Bombyx mori: one gene and its partner. The protein of the gene in region 1 purifies or fractionates together with the protein of each later gene. This does not show direct contact. Links are inferred from orthologs where the notes say so. Each region holds a gene or a part of one and is shown in the gene's direction. Other genes may lie near its edges. The genes, in order: dnaJ homolog subfamily C member 3 and DnaJ-3.

What was found.
Region 2: the proteins of dnaJ homolog subfamily C member 3 (region 1) and DnaJ-3 purify together in Homo sapiens (affinity purification with mass spectrometry; 3 studies listed by BioGRID and IntAct, with this or other methods). This does not show direct contact. The link is inferred for Bombyx mori from reciprocal best matches to the Homo sapiens genes DNAJC3 and DNAJB11.

The regions. Positions count from the first base shown.
Region 1 is NC_085121.1:18,214,072-18,220,365, forward strand, and holds part of dnaJ homolog subfamily C member 3, read left to right. Parts: intron 1-46; coding exon 47-141; intron 142-219; coding exon 220-324; intron 325-2,072; coding exon 2,073-2,273; intron 2,274-2,577; coding exon 2,578-2,703; intron 2,704-2,776; coding exon 2,777-3,001; intron 3,002-4,890; coding exon 4,891-5,008; intron 5,009-5,072; coding exon 5,073-5,205; intron 5,206-5,280; coding exon 5,281-5,410; intron 5,411-6,246; coding exon 6,247-6,294. UniProt on the Homo sapiens protein: Involved in the unfolded protein response (UPR) during endoplasmic reticulum (ER) stress.
Region 2 is NC_085110.1:12,970,966-12,979,038, reverse strand, and holds DnaJ-3 (DnaJ (Hsp40) homolog 3), read left to right. Parts: upstream 1-4,944; 5' UTR 4,945-5,036; coding exon 5,037-5,486; intron 5,487-5,693; coding exon 5,694-5,870; intron 5,871-5,990; coding exon 5,991-6,158; intron 6,159-6,434; coding exon 6,435-6,645; intron 6,646-6,905; coding exon 6,906-6,961; 3' UTR 6,962-7,080; downstream 7,081-8,073. Other genes in the region: proteasome subunit beta 7, read right to left, coding at 1-86, 200-636, 715-776. UniProt on the Homo sapiens protein: As a co-chaperone for HSPA5 it is required for proper folding, trafficking or degradation of proteins.

The DNA.
Region 1 (6,294 bases):
GTAAAATGTTTTTAACATTTACCAAAATATGCTTTTTTTACTGTAGAAGGAGATCCACACAACTATCTTACATACTTCAAGAGAGGTACAGTGTATTATGCCCTCGGAAAAGCAAAATTCGCACTTCAAGACTTTTCAAAGGTATATGACAACCTCACTTGTATATTTTGCAAGTGTTTTTTTGAATTTATGTTATAGCAATAAATGTTTATTTTCTAGGTGCTAGAGCTGAAATCTGACTTCACATCAGCGAGACTACAGCGAGCGAATGTCTACCTCAAATTAGCACAATATACTGATGCCAAAAATGATTATTTAGAAGTCGTAAGTATATTTTATTTCTAATGATGGGTAAAATAAGTTCATGGCCCACTCAACGTGTAAGGACTCAGTAGGGCTGTAAAACATCACTATGTTAATACTAATAGAAACTTTTTCATTTCAATACTGTGAAAATTATGTCTAGATAACAGTATAGGGCAGCCTAAATACTGTAATTCAATCTTCAAACATATAATTTTTGATTTATTAGGCACACAATCCACATTACAAGCTAAAAAAAACACAATAAATAACAACAATAAAAAAATCTGGCTTGTAACATAAGCCATATGCGTGCATTATCATAATAACATTATCAATACATTAATTTAATTGTGTGTGGTGAATAATTATTGGTAAGTCTTATCTGTTCTTTTTGTAAAATGAATATATTAATGTTTTGTTACAACAAAAGACAGGTATTTTAACAATCTATCAGTCTAATACGGCCTTGAGTGCATGCTGAATAAGTAGTCATAGTTATTGTTTTTGATATCAATAAGAACAAAGGAAATGTCTTTGTAAAAACTTACAATGTGAATTGGAAAACTCTTATTAGTATAATTTTATTTTTTAGATAAGAAACATCTACTGTATAGATATTGAATAATATAAAATGTTAAATTGGGCATATTTATAAAAAAGGTACAGATTACAGATGTGTGAAAATATTTAATTAATTGCAATGTCGACCGCTGGACCATACATTAATGTATCACACAGTGTAGAATGTGGGCCACATACATTACAATTTTTATGAATATTTCTTAAATATCAAAAAAAGAGTGAAAAAGTGAGTTTCTAGAAATATTATTTCTATGTTATGCTATCACATATTATGTTGAATTTTTTTGATAAATGTATGATAAGAAGAATCAAGATTATTGAATAATCAATTTCTCTAAAAAAATTACTTTATTACTATCTTTTGAAATATTGTTGTTAACTTTTTTTAATGGCTAAGAAGGCAGGCATACAGACAACCTATACCAACTGCATGGGTTCTATTAAAACTTCATGTAGACATTTTATAGTGCTCAGGAGAGTATGGAGGGGGGATTCTTGTTCTTTTGCTGCACTCTTAGAATAGCAGTCACAGTCATCATGTTCACAATGATGAGTTTTACAACCCGTTTTGCAATACCAAAAACTATCTGGAAATACATGTTAAATGTAGCGGGTAGTAACCATATAATGTAGTAAACATCAATGTAGTGTAGTTGAATGATAAAAAGAGATGACAAGATGAACTTGAAAAACTGCTTAGTACACTCCTAATGAAACATGATACAAAATCACATACAAAATAAAATTTCTTCTGCTGTTTGATGAGAACAGAATAAAAAAAAATTAAATTGGAATATGTAGTTAATTGTTAATTCTACCCTATAATTGAAATCTAAAGCAAATAAAATCAGATCTAACATGTCTAACAAATATACTATGTATATTTATTAACCAGGTATGTTACTGTGGCTCAAAAGTGCTATTAAGACATATTTTCATAAATCTCTTACTAAGTATTAGACTTGTCACTATAATTGACCTGTGCTGCTGGGTATTAAGTTACGTTGTTATTACCCATAAGACATATGACACTTTGTTTTAATTTAATGTAAAATTTTATACGATTTTTAGAGATCCCCAGAATAATGCATCTGAACCCTATATTTGGTACCCTGTACCCTGTTTGTTCCCTACAGGTATAAAGCTTATGTATTCACTATTAAACATATTCAATTAATTTGTAGACATATGCGGATCCGTACAACGAAGAAGCAATCAATCAGTACCACAGGATAGACGAGTACATAGACGATCTGCGGCTGGTGGAGGCGTACTACCGCGGGGGAGACCACCGCGCCGCCGTGGAGCTGGCCACCCGCCTGCTCGACGTGTCCCCCTGGAGCGCACACTTGCGGCAGCTGCGGGCAGAGTCCTACGTGGCTTTGGTAACCAGCTATTTGTCAAATATTTACCCTTCATTTCAAACTGAGGCAGACTGTTGAATATTACAACAACTAATCTCTTTCCTAAATCAAACTTCTGTCCTGAGAGGAAAAGCACCATAGAAATTGCTGTTTGTGGGTAGACCCCCCATCTTTTTATTTAATTTAAAATCATAATAATGAATTGTCACACAAAATATATTATTAAAAGTATCGAAGAAATATAACACTTAAAAATACTTGATGTTACAATATTTCATAAAAATGATATTAAAGATTCATAGTGTTTTTGTAATTTCGTTTTCAGAATGATTTATTTTCGGCCGTGTCAGACATAAGATCAGTAAATAGATTACAGCAAGACTCTACTGATGGATATTACCGGCTCGCTACCTTGTTGTACAAATTGGGACATGTCAGTGACGCGCTCAAAGTGAGTACCTCTCATTAAATCTGTTCAATTTAATTAATTGTAAACAGTCATATTAACTTTTCAACTTCCCCAGGAAATCAGAGAATGTCTAAAATTAGATCCGGAGCACAAGAAATGTTTTCCGTTTTACAAGAAGGTGAAAAAAGTGGACAAACTTCTCCAGGAGTGTGAAGACAAGAGTTCAGCGAGAGATTTTGCAGGATGCATGAAGAGTGCTTCCGCTGTCCTGCTCGTAGAGACAGAAGTCACTCTGGTGATCTTCGAGGCCCGAAGGTGGCTCTGCTCTTGTGCGGTGAAGGTATGAACACACTCGATCTTAGGCTTTGACATAGATTTTCTTTTCTCGTTCTTTTTAAATAAAACTTATGTAGTATGATGACAAATTTGAAGAGCGTTTGAAAAAAAAATAAACTTCATTGTCTCATAAGCTTAATTTCGCTCGCGTGAGCTCACCTCAGTTGCTGCACCTATTTTAATGAGCGACACAAGCTCACACACCACAACTGCAGAGCTGTGCCCCGCCTCACCGACTGTGACTACTTATCATCTGGGGGACCTTTACATACATTCTTTTCTATTCTATTTCTTACTGGTGGTAGGACCTCTTGTGAGTCCACACCACAGATAACCCCCAATAGATTCCGCATACAGGGCCACAAATGTTCACAGCACATTAGTGATTTAGCTAGTATATGAAGTGACGCTAAGAATCACGACATCAGTATTGACCAAGTTTAAGACCCGTAAGCACGCCGAGTTCTTGCCAATATTTAAAGATAGTTTTAAATTCAAATAATATTATAAATGGCTTCCTATGCAATAAAATGGTGTGGCAAGTCATCTAAGACATGTGGTTATCAAAAAGATGGCATAACATTTCATCGGTAACTACTGTTACTTGTCTGTACTTTTATTACATTAACCTAATTCGAATAAACCAGAGTTCAACTTATACTGTTAAGAAATGTGAAAAGTAATAATATCAAAGCACCCCTTGATGTCTTTTTGAAATGTCCCTTTCACTCATCATGTAAATTACAATAGTTGTCTTTGTCTAAATCTGCACGTGTATCGATAGTGTTGTGATTTACAAGTCGACCTTTGTTTGGGCATTATTATTTTTTTTCTATTGTAGCAAAAAAAACCTTATTATTAAACCAGTAATGTTTAATGTTTAAAACATTATCAAGAAAGTCATACGAAGCTCAATAAATACAACCTGAGGTTGTAAAATATTATATAAAGAAAAAACGTTTTGTAACACAAACATTAAGTAGTTTTGTTGGTGAAAGTATTTTTCCTGATATATCACCAATTTGATCACGAAAATTGTAATCACATTATTGATTTAAAACAGTGTCGTGGAAAAATATATAGATATAAGACTTCTTTACTTATCAAGGAAGACAGATCCTAAGAATTCTGTAAGACGAATTTTTACTAAGCTGATTCATTTTAAAAATCAATGAAATATACTTAGATCCTTTTTTATTAATTTTAATAAATATTGGATAATTTAGAATTAATTTATATTTTATTTATAACTAATAATAAAATTAAAATATCAATGATCCAGATCATCCTACAAATTTATCGATCAACAATTTTAAAGCTGTCCCATCACTATGATTTGATGCATTATAAGTTTGTCTTTGAAATATCCAATCACAGCACACTTGACACGTCCCCCGTCACTCATGCTTACCTCAAAATTTGGTGAAGTCGAATTGAAACAAATGTTGAATAATGCGGTATCTATTGGGGGTTATCTGTGGAGGTACCACTACCCCGCCTATTTTTGCCGTGAAGCAGTAATGCGTTTCGGTTTGAAGGGTGGGGCAGCCGTTGTAATTATACTGAGACCTTAGAACTTATATCTCAGGGTGGGTGGCGCATTTACATTGTAGATGTCTATGGGAGCCAGTAACTACTTAACACCAGGTGGGCTGTAAGCTCGTTCACCCATTTAGCAAACAATAAAAAAAACATTCCTTTGAATATCCACGACGCAACCTATCAGTATGACATAGGATAGCAAAACAAACTGGAATCAATTCAGCCAATACATTTTAATTAAAGAACCAAAATATATGCAGAACTATAATCTTATGAGATAAATAAAGAGTAATTTCCGGCATATTTAATAAGTAATAGTATTCACTATTCCAACACGTCCTGACTGTACAGGAGGAGCTGTACTCGGAGGCGCTGGGGCACTGCAGCAGCGCGCTGGAGCTGCGCCGCGACGCGCGACTGCTGTGCGACCGCGCCGACGCGCTGCTCGGACTCGAGATGTACGACGACGGTACGTGCACCCCCGCCGCCCACCGCCCCCCCACACACATCTACAGCGCCGCTCCTGTTCACAGCTATCCGCGCGTACAAGGAGGCTTTGGAGTTAGATGAAGGGTTTCAGCGAGCGAAGGAAGGTCTCAGCCGAGCACAGAAACTGCAGAAACAATCCGAACAAAGAGATTATTACAAAATCCTGGGCGTCAAGAGGTAACGTTCGCTCCACTCGCCGTGCTAGTAGTAGTAGTAGTAATACTGGTAGTGACGCGAGCCTTCGCTCCGCAGGACGGCGACGAAACAAGAGATCATCAAGGCGTACAGGAAGGCGGCGCAGAAGTGGCACCCGGACAGCTACCACGGGGACGAGAAGAAGTTGGCCGAGAAGAAGTTCATCGACATCGCCGCCGCTAAAGAGGTTTGTGTCACACGAGCCGCCATGTCCGCCCGGCACTACACGCGAGCCCCCTCCCAAATACCAGCTTCCATTTAACTCTATCCAGAAGAGGGCCGCTCTGACTGTCGATAATCCCATTCTCACAGATCGTTCGGAACCTCGGGGTCTGCGGAAGGAATTCATTTCTCTCTGTATTTTATACCGTGTGTTCCATGAGGAGTACTCTGAGGAAATGTTTGAGATTATTCATCATCCCATCATCTCATCGTCACCATCACACAAACCACTTTGGCCGTCCGTGACTGTACACAAATTTAATTTGATGCATTGGAATTATACCTGAGAGTGAATAGCACAGAAACATACGTGACGTAGTAGTAGTTGAGAGCGGGCGCTCCCCGTTTATTTATTTAATTTTTTATTACTTAAATGGGTGGATGAGCTCATGGCCTACCTGGTGTTAAGTGGTTACCGGAACCTATAGACATCTACAACGTAAATGCTGCCACCTATTTCGAGACATAAATTGCCCCACCCTTCAAACCGGAACGTATTACAGCTTCACGGCAGAAAAAAGCAGGGTGGTGGTACCCACCCGCGCGGACTCACAAGAGGTCCTACAACCAGTAATTACGCAAATTGTAATTTTGCTGGTTTGATTTTTATTACACGATGTTATTCTTTCACCGTGGAAGTCAATCGTGAACATTTGTTGAGTACGTATTTCATTACAAAAATTGGGGATCCGAACACCGGTGCATCGCTCGATACGAATGCACCGGACGTCTTATCCTTTGACCTTGAAATCCAGTGCGGCGAGGTCTGAGTGTGTATAGTACCGAGGGTTGGTCCCGCAGGTGCTGACGGACCCCGAGAAGCGCGCGCAGTTCGACGGTGGCTCGGAC
Region 2 (8,073 bases), on another chromosome or scaffold:
TCGGACAAGCTTTTTTCCTTCTTCCTCATTCATATCACGTTTCCAACCTGCTTCAAACACTGCCATAGCCGCAAGAGATCCAGATCCTACAAAGTACCAAAATTTAGTACATAATAATATTATAGATGTAGTGAAGAATATGACCAATGACTATCAATTTAATATAGTACATATTTAGGTACACACTAACAATATTTACCCATGGTTGCATATGGTAATTTATCTACAGATCCATGAGGATAAATGCAGTAAATATGAGGACCGGTTCTGTCAACACCTCCCAAAACCAGAGCAGCCCCTATATGGCCTTGATAGCGAAATAGCATTCGTTTCAGCAGTGTGGCAGCAGTTTCTACAGGTACAGTACGTCCAGTATGTAAGCGCTGCAACTCCAATTGTGAAGCAACAGATTGTGTTGTCATTTCAGTGTCAGCTGCTGTTCCTGCTCCACAACAATACATGTTGGATGCTAAGTAGTGGATTTTTTGGCAGTTTTTGTCCGAGACAACTGTATTTTCAGTGGCTCTTGTGTCAGCTCCTAGAATAACGCCGTCTGCGTATATTATACCAACAATTGTAGTACCGGTCTTGGTGGCTTTGGGTGCAGGAAACCCTTTCTGAGCAAGAAAAGCATTACTGAAACAGAAAAGGAAATATTTTTATCCAAAGTATTGAGGTAGAATGGTATTTGTTGCCCGTACTTAAAGGACTTACCGTTGAAAATTCTCAAACGAGAATCCTGGAACTGGAATTTCGGGCACTAATGCAGATGCCATTTCGTGATTTGACAAATTTTATTGAAATTTTAATTTAAATCGTACGCTTTTAAACGTTATTCCACGCAAACCTAAATATTAAAATAAAACAGTAAATTGACAGAGCGAACATGTACAATGATTTTCAAGTTTGCAATGTTTTTTTCTTGATGACCAACAACTCCGAAACCTTAATGCCAATGCACACAAGAATTTAATTTGACAAAGGTGATTATAACGAAATATTTAAGAAAAAGAATACGAAAATCTAAAAGTTGTTTAAGGTGGTAAGTAGCATAGTATATTTAATTATACACTGTAATACTACCAGTTCATTAAATAGATTTCGATTAGTCCTGTGTCGATCGCGATTGACAGAATCTTTTTGACCCGATCTCGACCCATACGCGTGTGAACGGGTCGTCGGTGCTTGAAAGATTCGTTCTTCCAGAGATTCGATCACCAGGTGACATCACAAACGAAATTGGACTTTATTCGTGAAAAATTACCGTAGCTTGTTGCTTAATTAATCGATTATTTCTTGCATTCAATCACGAAATGACGTAGCTATTAAAATATCTTCTATCTCTTTCGTTTAAGTACATACATACAATCCTGTTCACGCAGTGCACTCTTTCTATCTTGTCGTTTGTTGTGCGTTGCATGATTGTATCCAAAATAAACCGGATTGCGCGGGATCTTTCGGGTCGCACGCGACTTGTCAATCGCGGGAGTGTATTTTAATTTTGAGAATGAATTAATTAATCATTGCATCGGTGACTCTGACTACTGACTTGCGATAGCGTTTCGGTATATTCCCGGTACCTAGTATGTTGTTTGTGTATGTTAGTACTTTTACTAAAATATTTTAAGTGACGATAATAAATCTTAAAAATAATAATCGTATAGTTACTTTTTTATAGCAATACAAATTACGAAAAAAATAAAAACTGTCCTTTTTGGAGTCTTACGCATAGTCCTTATTCTCGTTTTAACGTGAGAACGAGATCGATCGCGCAATCCTTCGGTCATTTTTATATTAAACTAGCTGACCCGGCAAACGTTGTGTTGCCTTAAATAAGATTTCTAGGGAAATTATAGTCTAATATTTAAAATACTCAAAAACCTCATTCAACCACATAATATAGTAAGCGGCACGTAAGTTGGCAAGGTTTTGGTGTAGTGGGGGTAATGTCGCGCATAGTGTACATTGCAACAAAAAAATTGTCGGTTTTATGGCCCGCATATATGTTAATTTTATTTTATTAAATTTTTTATTTGCCATAATTTATTTTTAAGCCTGTGTGTTTAGAAGACAGTTAAAGAAAAGAGAGGAATTCGTGAAGTGTATTAGGTGTTATAAATAAAATACAATTAAAAGTTAAAAAGTTTATTTAACAAAATATACTTAATATTAAAAATTATGTGTCGCCGTCGTCACTATCATTTTCTAATAGTGCTACCCCTTGGATTAAATTTATGGTAGGACCTGAGCTGGTGGAAGGAGTTGGCTCCTCATCGTCGACATAACGAAGAGTCGCTGTCGTCACTGGCGTAAATAATAAAACGCTCAGTGACTGAATCGACTATAATTATGGTCATTGGTATTTGGTCCTGCCATTGCAAACAAATTTAAAACAATAACACTCGTAACAAAAACTAAATTTAAAATAATAATAACAACTCGTAACAAAAACTCAATATAAACAAAGGGTTCCTATAACTTTAGTAGGCACAGGTGTAACCGGGAGCGAACGGAACGTGGACGCGGTGCGGGAGGGGAGAGTCGACTGACTCACCAATCGCGCGCTCGGAACGGTGCTACATCTTTCCCCGCGTCCCGCTTGACAACCAAAGATACCTAAAAAACGACTTCTGCGCATCTAGCGACTCTTGCCAAGTTACGCGCTGGGGACTATACCTCATTATAACCAAAAAAAAAATTATAAAAAAAAAATGTTTGGGGTGAACAACCCTTATCACTTAGGGGTATGAAATATAGATAGTAGCCGATTCTCAGACCTACTGAACATACTATTGATACACAAATAAAACCAAAGAAACATGGCTGAAAAATGTATAGTGAGTAAGACAGGAGACCGGCTTCGTCCTCATCCCTACTACGTGATTTTACTTTGCTGGATGAGTGGTGACACCTGGCAGGGATAACTGATCGATTGATAGTTGATCAGTAGTCGACCGGCGAGGGCAGGAGATCAAATTGAATTAAAAAAAATCATAATTAAAGGAACTTGAAATTATAAACTCTGAATAACAATTTATCATACTACAATTATAATATTTGATTGCCATCTTGCAACCTTATTGCGGATCTGTGCATAGAATAAAAAAAATAAAAATCGGGATGGAAAAATAGGGGTTGATCGTATAAGAGTGAAAATTGAGAGTAATATATTTTTTTTATTTTAAGTCATGACGAAATAAAAAATAAAATCTTGGCAAAAAATTTAAAATTTATAATTAACAAATAAAAAATAGGGGTTGATCGTAGAGGGTGAAAATTTCAGAGTAATATGAAATTTTTTATTCTAAGTCATGACAAAATAAAAACAAAATTCTTGCAAAAAAATTTAGTTTTTAATTAACAAATAAAAAATAAGGGTTGATCGTAGAGGGGTGAAAATTTAGGGTTGTATGTATTTTTGTATGCTGTATCATAAAAAAATAAAAACAAAAAAAATTGTCTAAAAAATAAAAAATAAAATTTAGGGGTGGACTACCCCTAACATTTAGGGGGATGAAAAATAGATGTTAGCCGATTCTCATAGATACCGGATAAGCACAAAAAATTTCATCAAAATCGGTCAAGCCCTTTCGGAGGAGTATGGAAACGAAAACTGTGACACGAGAATTTTATATATTAGATAGATACATACGAACTAGACGAAACTATACGAAATAGATACATACGATGACCGAAATGATTGAAATGATCGAATCTTTATGACCCGATCACTATACGAATGGGTCACGATCGACCCGGGTCATGGAAAACGATTGACCGACCCAGGTCTAATTTCGATATGTCCACTATATATTTTTTTGACTGTTATAGTTCACGCAACTTTATCTGATCATGATCATGTAAATAAATGAAACTTTAATTTCTTTTAAGAGTAATTAAAGTAATTAAATTAAGTGAAAGATTTCCCAAATTATCCGTTTTTATTATTATTTTGTCTCATTGATGTCTTTAATTGATTGAATCAGTCCCCTTCGAATTCAGCGATTACAACGAAGAATTCGAGGAGCAAACCTACCCATAGAAACAGTCCAATTAGTTTCTCGCCGGATTTTTTCAATAAGTCGCCATTTCGCTCCAATGATAAATTCTGCGAAGCATTATTCTTGCTAGGGCTGGTTGGCAAAATTTCTTAGGTTGAACCTAAGGTAAGCTCACCTACCCATCCGTACGAAGCTGGAATAACTCTTCAAGCTAGCTAGCTAGATAGAAAAACACAAAAAGGTGTTTTTCTTTTTGTTTACAGATAGATTTTGTGAATTGTTTAACGTAGTCGAAATGTAGTTACTAGATTTGTGTAAATTATTGTTGGAGTTTGAATATGAACATAACGGCAGGCAGCACTTACACAATATGTAAGGTTACGGATTTCGAATATTGGAATTATTTTAAATGTTTAAAACAAATAATTGTCTTCTCATCAGTGAAGACAATGACTTCTCATCTAGACACGGTCAGACCAACATCTAAGAGTTTTATAAAAATAAAATAATATAATGGTGTAATATTTGTACATGTACAAAGTATTTGCAATATAATTATATTAATCATGAAGAAGAGAGTTTTTTAAATAACCCCTCACCTACAAAACCCAGTCCCTTCAAATTTAACCGTCCAACAATTATACACTTGCTATAAAAACTTCTCAGTATTCCTCTTAAACTGAATCACAAAATATAATTAGAAAATTTTGCGAATTGAAATCGATTTTTTCTAAACTTTTCAAATAATGCCTCCCAGCCTTTAAACTGTTCTTAATTTGATTCATACTAGAACTTATGGGCGTGAAATAAAATTTATAATAGAATTTGCCTTTTAAACTCTTTTTCTCTTGTTGTTAAACTGAGTATTGGCTGACCAATAGGAGGAGGACGAATTGTCTTTCAACTCCGATTTGTCAAAATTTAGTTGGTTCTGTCAGAAAAGACGGAAATGTGTTGAAAACTACTACGTTACTGAAATTTGACTATTCGTATTTTATTGTAGATTTTAAATGTTTTTGTAAGTGTAAAGACAAAATGCTAGTTAACGCAATTAATGTGTGTTTAATTTATTTATTGTCAGCTCTAGTCATCACCCTCGCTGGTCGTGATTTCTACCAGATACTTGGTGTATCTCGGTCCGCGAATACAAATGAAATTAAAAAGGCTTACAGAAAATTAGCAAAAGCATTGCATCCTGATAAAAATCAAGATGATCCCGATGCTGCTCAAAAGTTTCAAGATTTAGGGGCGGCTTATGAGGCATTATCAGACCCCGAAAAACGCGAACTGTACGATCGTTGCGGCGAAGACTGTTTGAAGAAAGATGGAATGATGAACAATAATGACCCTTTTGCAAGCTTCTTTGGTGATTTTGGATTCCATTTTGGTGGTGAACCGCAACATCACGAAACACCACGAGGGGCGGACATTGTTATGGAGCTCACAGTTTCACTTGAAGAACTTTACAATGGAAATTTTATAGAGGTGACTAATATTATACTTTTTTCAATATATAAATCTATGAACGTTATAAGAATTAAAATAGACCATAAAATAATTTTCCAGAGAAGTTATTAACAATTATTACAGTTTAAATGTTATAGTTTACAGATTTTATAGGTTTATTTTTCCAATAAAGCAATAAAGAGAAATCTGATAAAAACTGCATGTCACCCATTTAATTTTTAACAGATAACTAGGAATAAACCCGTAATCAAACCAGCTCCAGGGACCCGCAAGTGTAACTGTAGACAAGAGATGGTAACAAGAAACTTGGGTCCAGGAAGATTCCAGATGATGCAGCAAACAGTGTGTGATGAATGTCCTAATGTAAAATTTGTTAATGAAGAAAGGCTACTAGAAATTGAGGTATGACTTTGAAGATATTGTAAGAAATTGTGAAAGGAAAATGCTACAGAAATGTTAATTACAGTAAAAACTTTCAAATGAACAACATTTTTAAGTGAATTAAAAATATAATATTTACAGGTAGAAGTTGGTGCTCCGGATGGACACAAATCTAGGTTGCGTGGAGAAGGTGAACCCCATGTAGATGGTGAACCAGGTGATCTCATTGTAATACTCAAAACGGAAAGACACCCACAATTTACTCGCAAAGCTGATGACTTATACACCAATGTGACAATTTCACTACAGGTAGACAAATTAATATTTTTGTTTGAATGTAATTAAAATATAAATATGTACATATAAGATAGTTATAACTAGTATAGTAGTAGATATAGTAGATAACTTCAATATTTTAAGCTTTTAGAAATTAATTTGTTTTTTTATTGCTCTTGTAGGCATACGTACCACCTGATGGTGAGAGGTTAGTGTCGCCCATTGATGTCAGTAATGCTAGGGGCAGAACCAAGCCGCTGACTACCAGAAATAATTTGTTAAAAATAATAACCATTTATTTACTTTCAGGATGCTCTGACTGGTTTTACTCTTGAACTTGAACATTTAGATGGTCATAAAGTGTCAGTGTCTAGAGACAAGGTAACATGGGCTGGTGCAAGAGTTCGTAAGAAGGGAGAAGGCATGCCAAATTTTGAAAATAACAACCTCCATGGAAATCTTTATGTAACTTTTGATATAGAATTTCCCAAGCAAGACTTCACAGATGCTGAGAAAGAGGGTTAGTTTGTGTTTTATATTATTTATGTTATAAAGGAGTAACATTAATCCCATTTCTTAGTTATTATTTTATTTATTGAGTGTTATTGGCTTTTGTTAAATTTTATACGTTTCACAATGGCTTTATTCCCAGTACAAATAATCTCCCGAATAGTAAAATAAAAGAAAAATTAACTAATATTGTCTGTTGACCAATTCTCAATAATTATGTATATCTTGTATTTTTAAACTTTTTTTAACTTCTATAACTCTTTATTTCAGCTTTGCGAAAAATACTGAACCAGCCACCAAATAATAAAATATACAATGGACTATAGTGATAGTAAACTAGTAATTATAGCTGGACTGAGTGTGGTTTCATAAGATTTTTGTTACCTGAATGAAGACGTGCATGTGATGGTTTTATAAAAAATAAAAATACCATTTTGATTTGTTATATTTTTTTTTTTTTCAATATTGTTGAAGACGAGTAAATTATATTTTGTTAATGAAGTTCAACTTGAAAAAATGTTTTTAACAACACTACAAAACATTATTTACATCAAAAAAGAAACTTAACATACTAAAAATACATTGGCAACTTAAAAGTATGGTGTCTCGTTGCAGATTCGTTTTAAAAACTTGATGGGTTTAAAACATATTTCTCTAATTACAAATAATTTATTAAATTGATTAATTAGAAGCTGACAAGTCAGTTCCAACAATGTGTCACAATGTGTAAATTGTGTAATCATAATTGTACAATGTAATTCTCAATTTACGTGCAATCACAGTGTAACGTAAAAATGAAAAGGAGAGATAAAATCCAATTTGTAACACACGGCCAGGTCGTGTCCCACGCGAGTTTGTTTATGGACTGCTTGAAATAAGTAAACTTATCAATTATTGTACCTATATATGTCACGTATTCTCCGTTGATAAGTATATTCAGTCATCAGACTTATTTCAAAATATATATGGTATTTGTTGACGCTATGACGAATCGCGCACGATATGAGATGCGTACATAAAGCGATCTTTAATGATTGAAATTTATTAGTTGTCTATTTGGCTAAAAGTAAATATGAAAAAATACAATATTGCAAATACTGGGTTATTTTCTACTCAGTAAAACTATAAAATTGCGGAGCGTTATTATTCATTCCATTTGTAGAGGGTCTCATTTACTATGCACTGTGATACCCCAAAACGAATTTGTGTTGGAAAAGCGTTATAAAAGTATTTAAAAAAAAATCCAATATGTTTACTATCTCATTTCTTCTTATAGTAAAATAATATTAGTATTTCGATTTTAAGTTTAATAGTCGGCTTAGAGGTTGATTGAGGGCGCCCTGCTAGTATGTGAGACCAATTTGCCATTGCAGTCCTTAGACGCCCTCGTCCCTTTTGGACTAGATTTAAAGGAATCAGTGTCATGTTCACTCTCCTT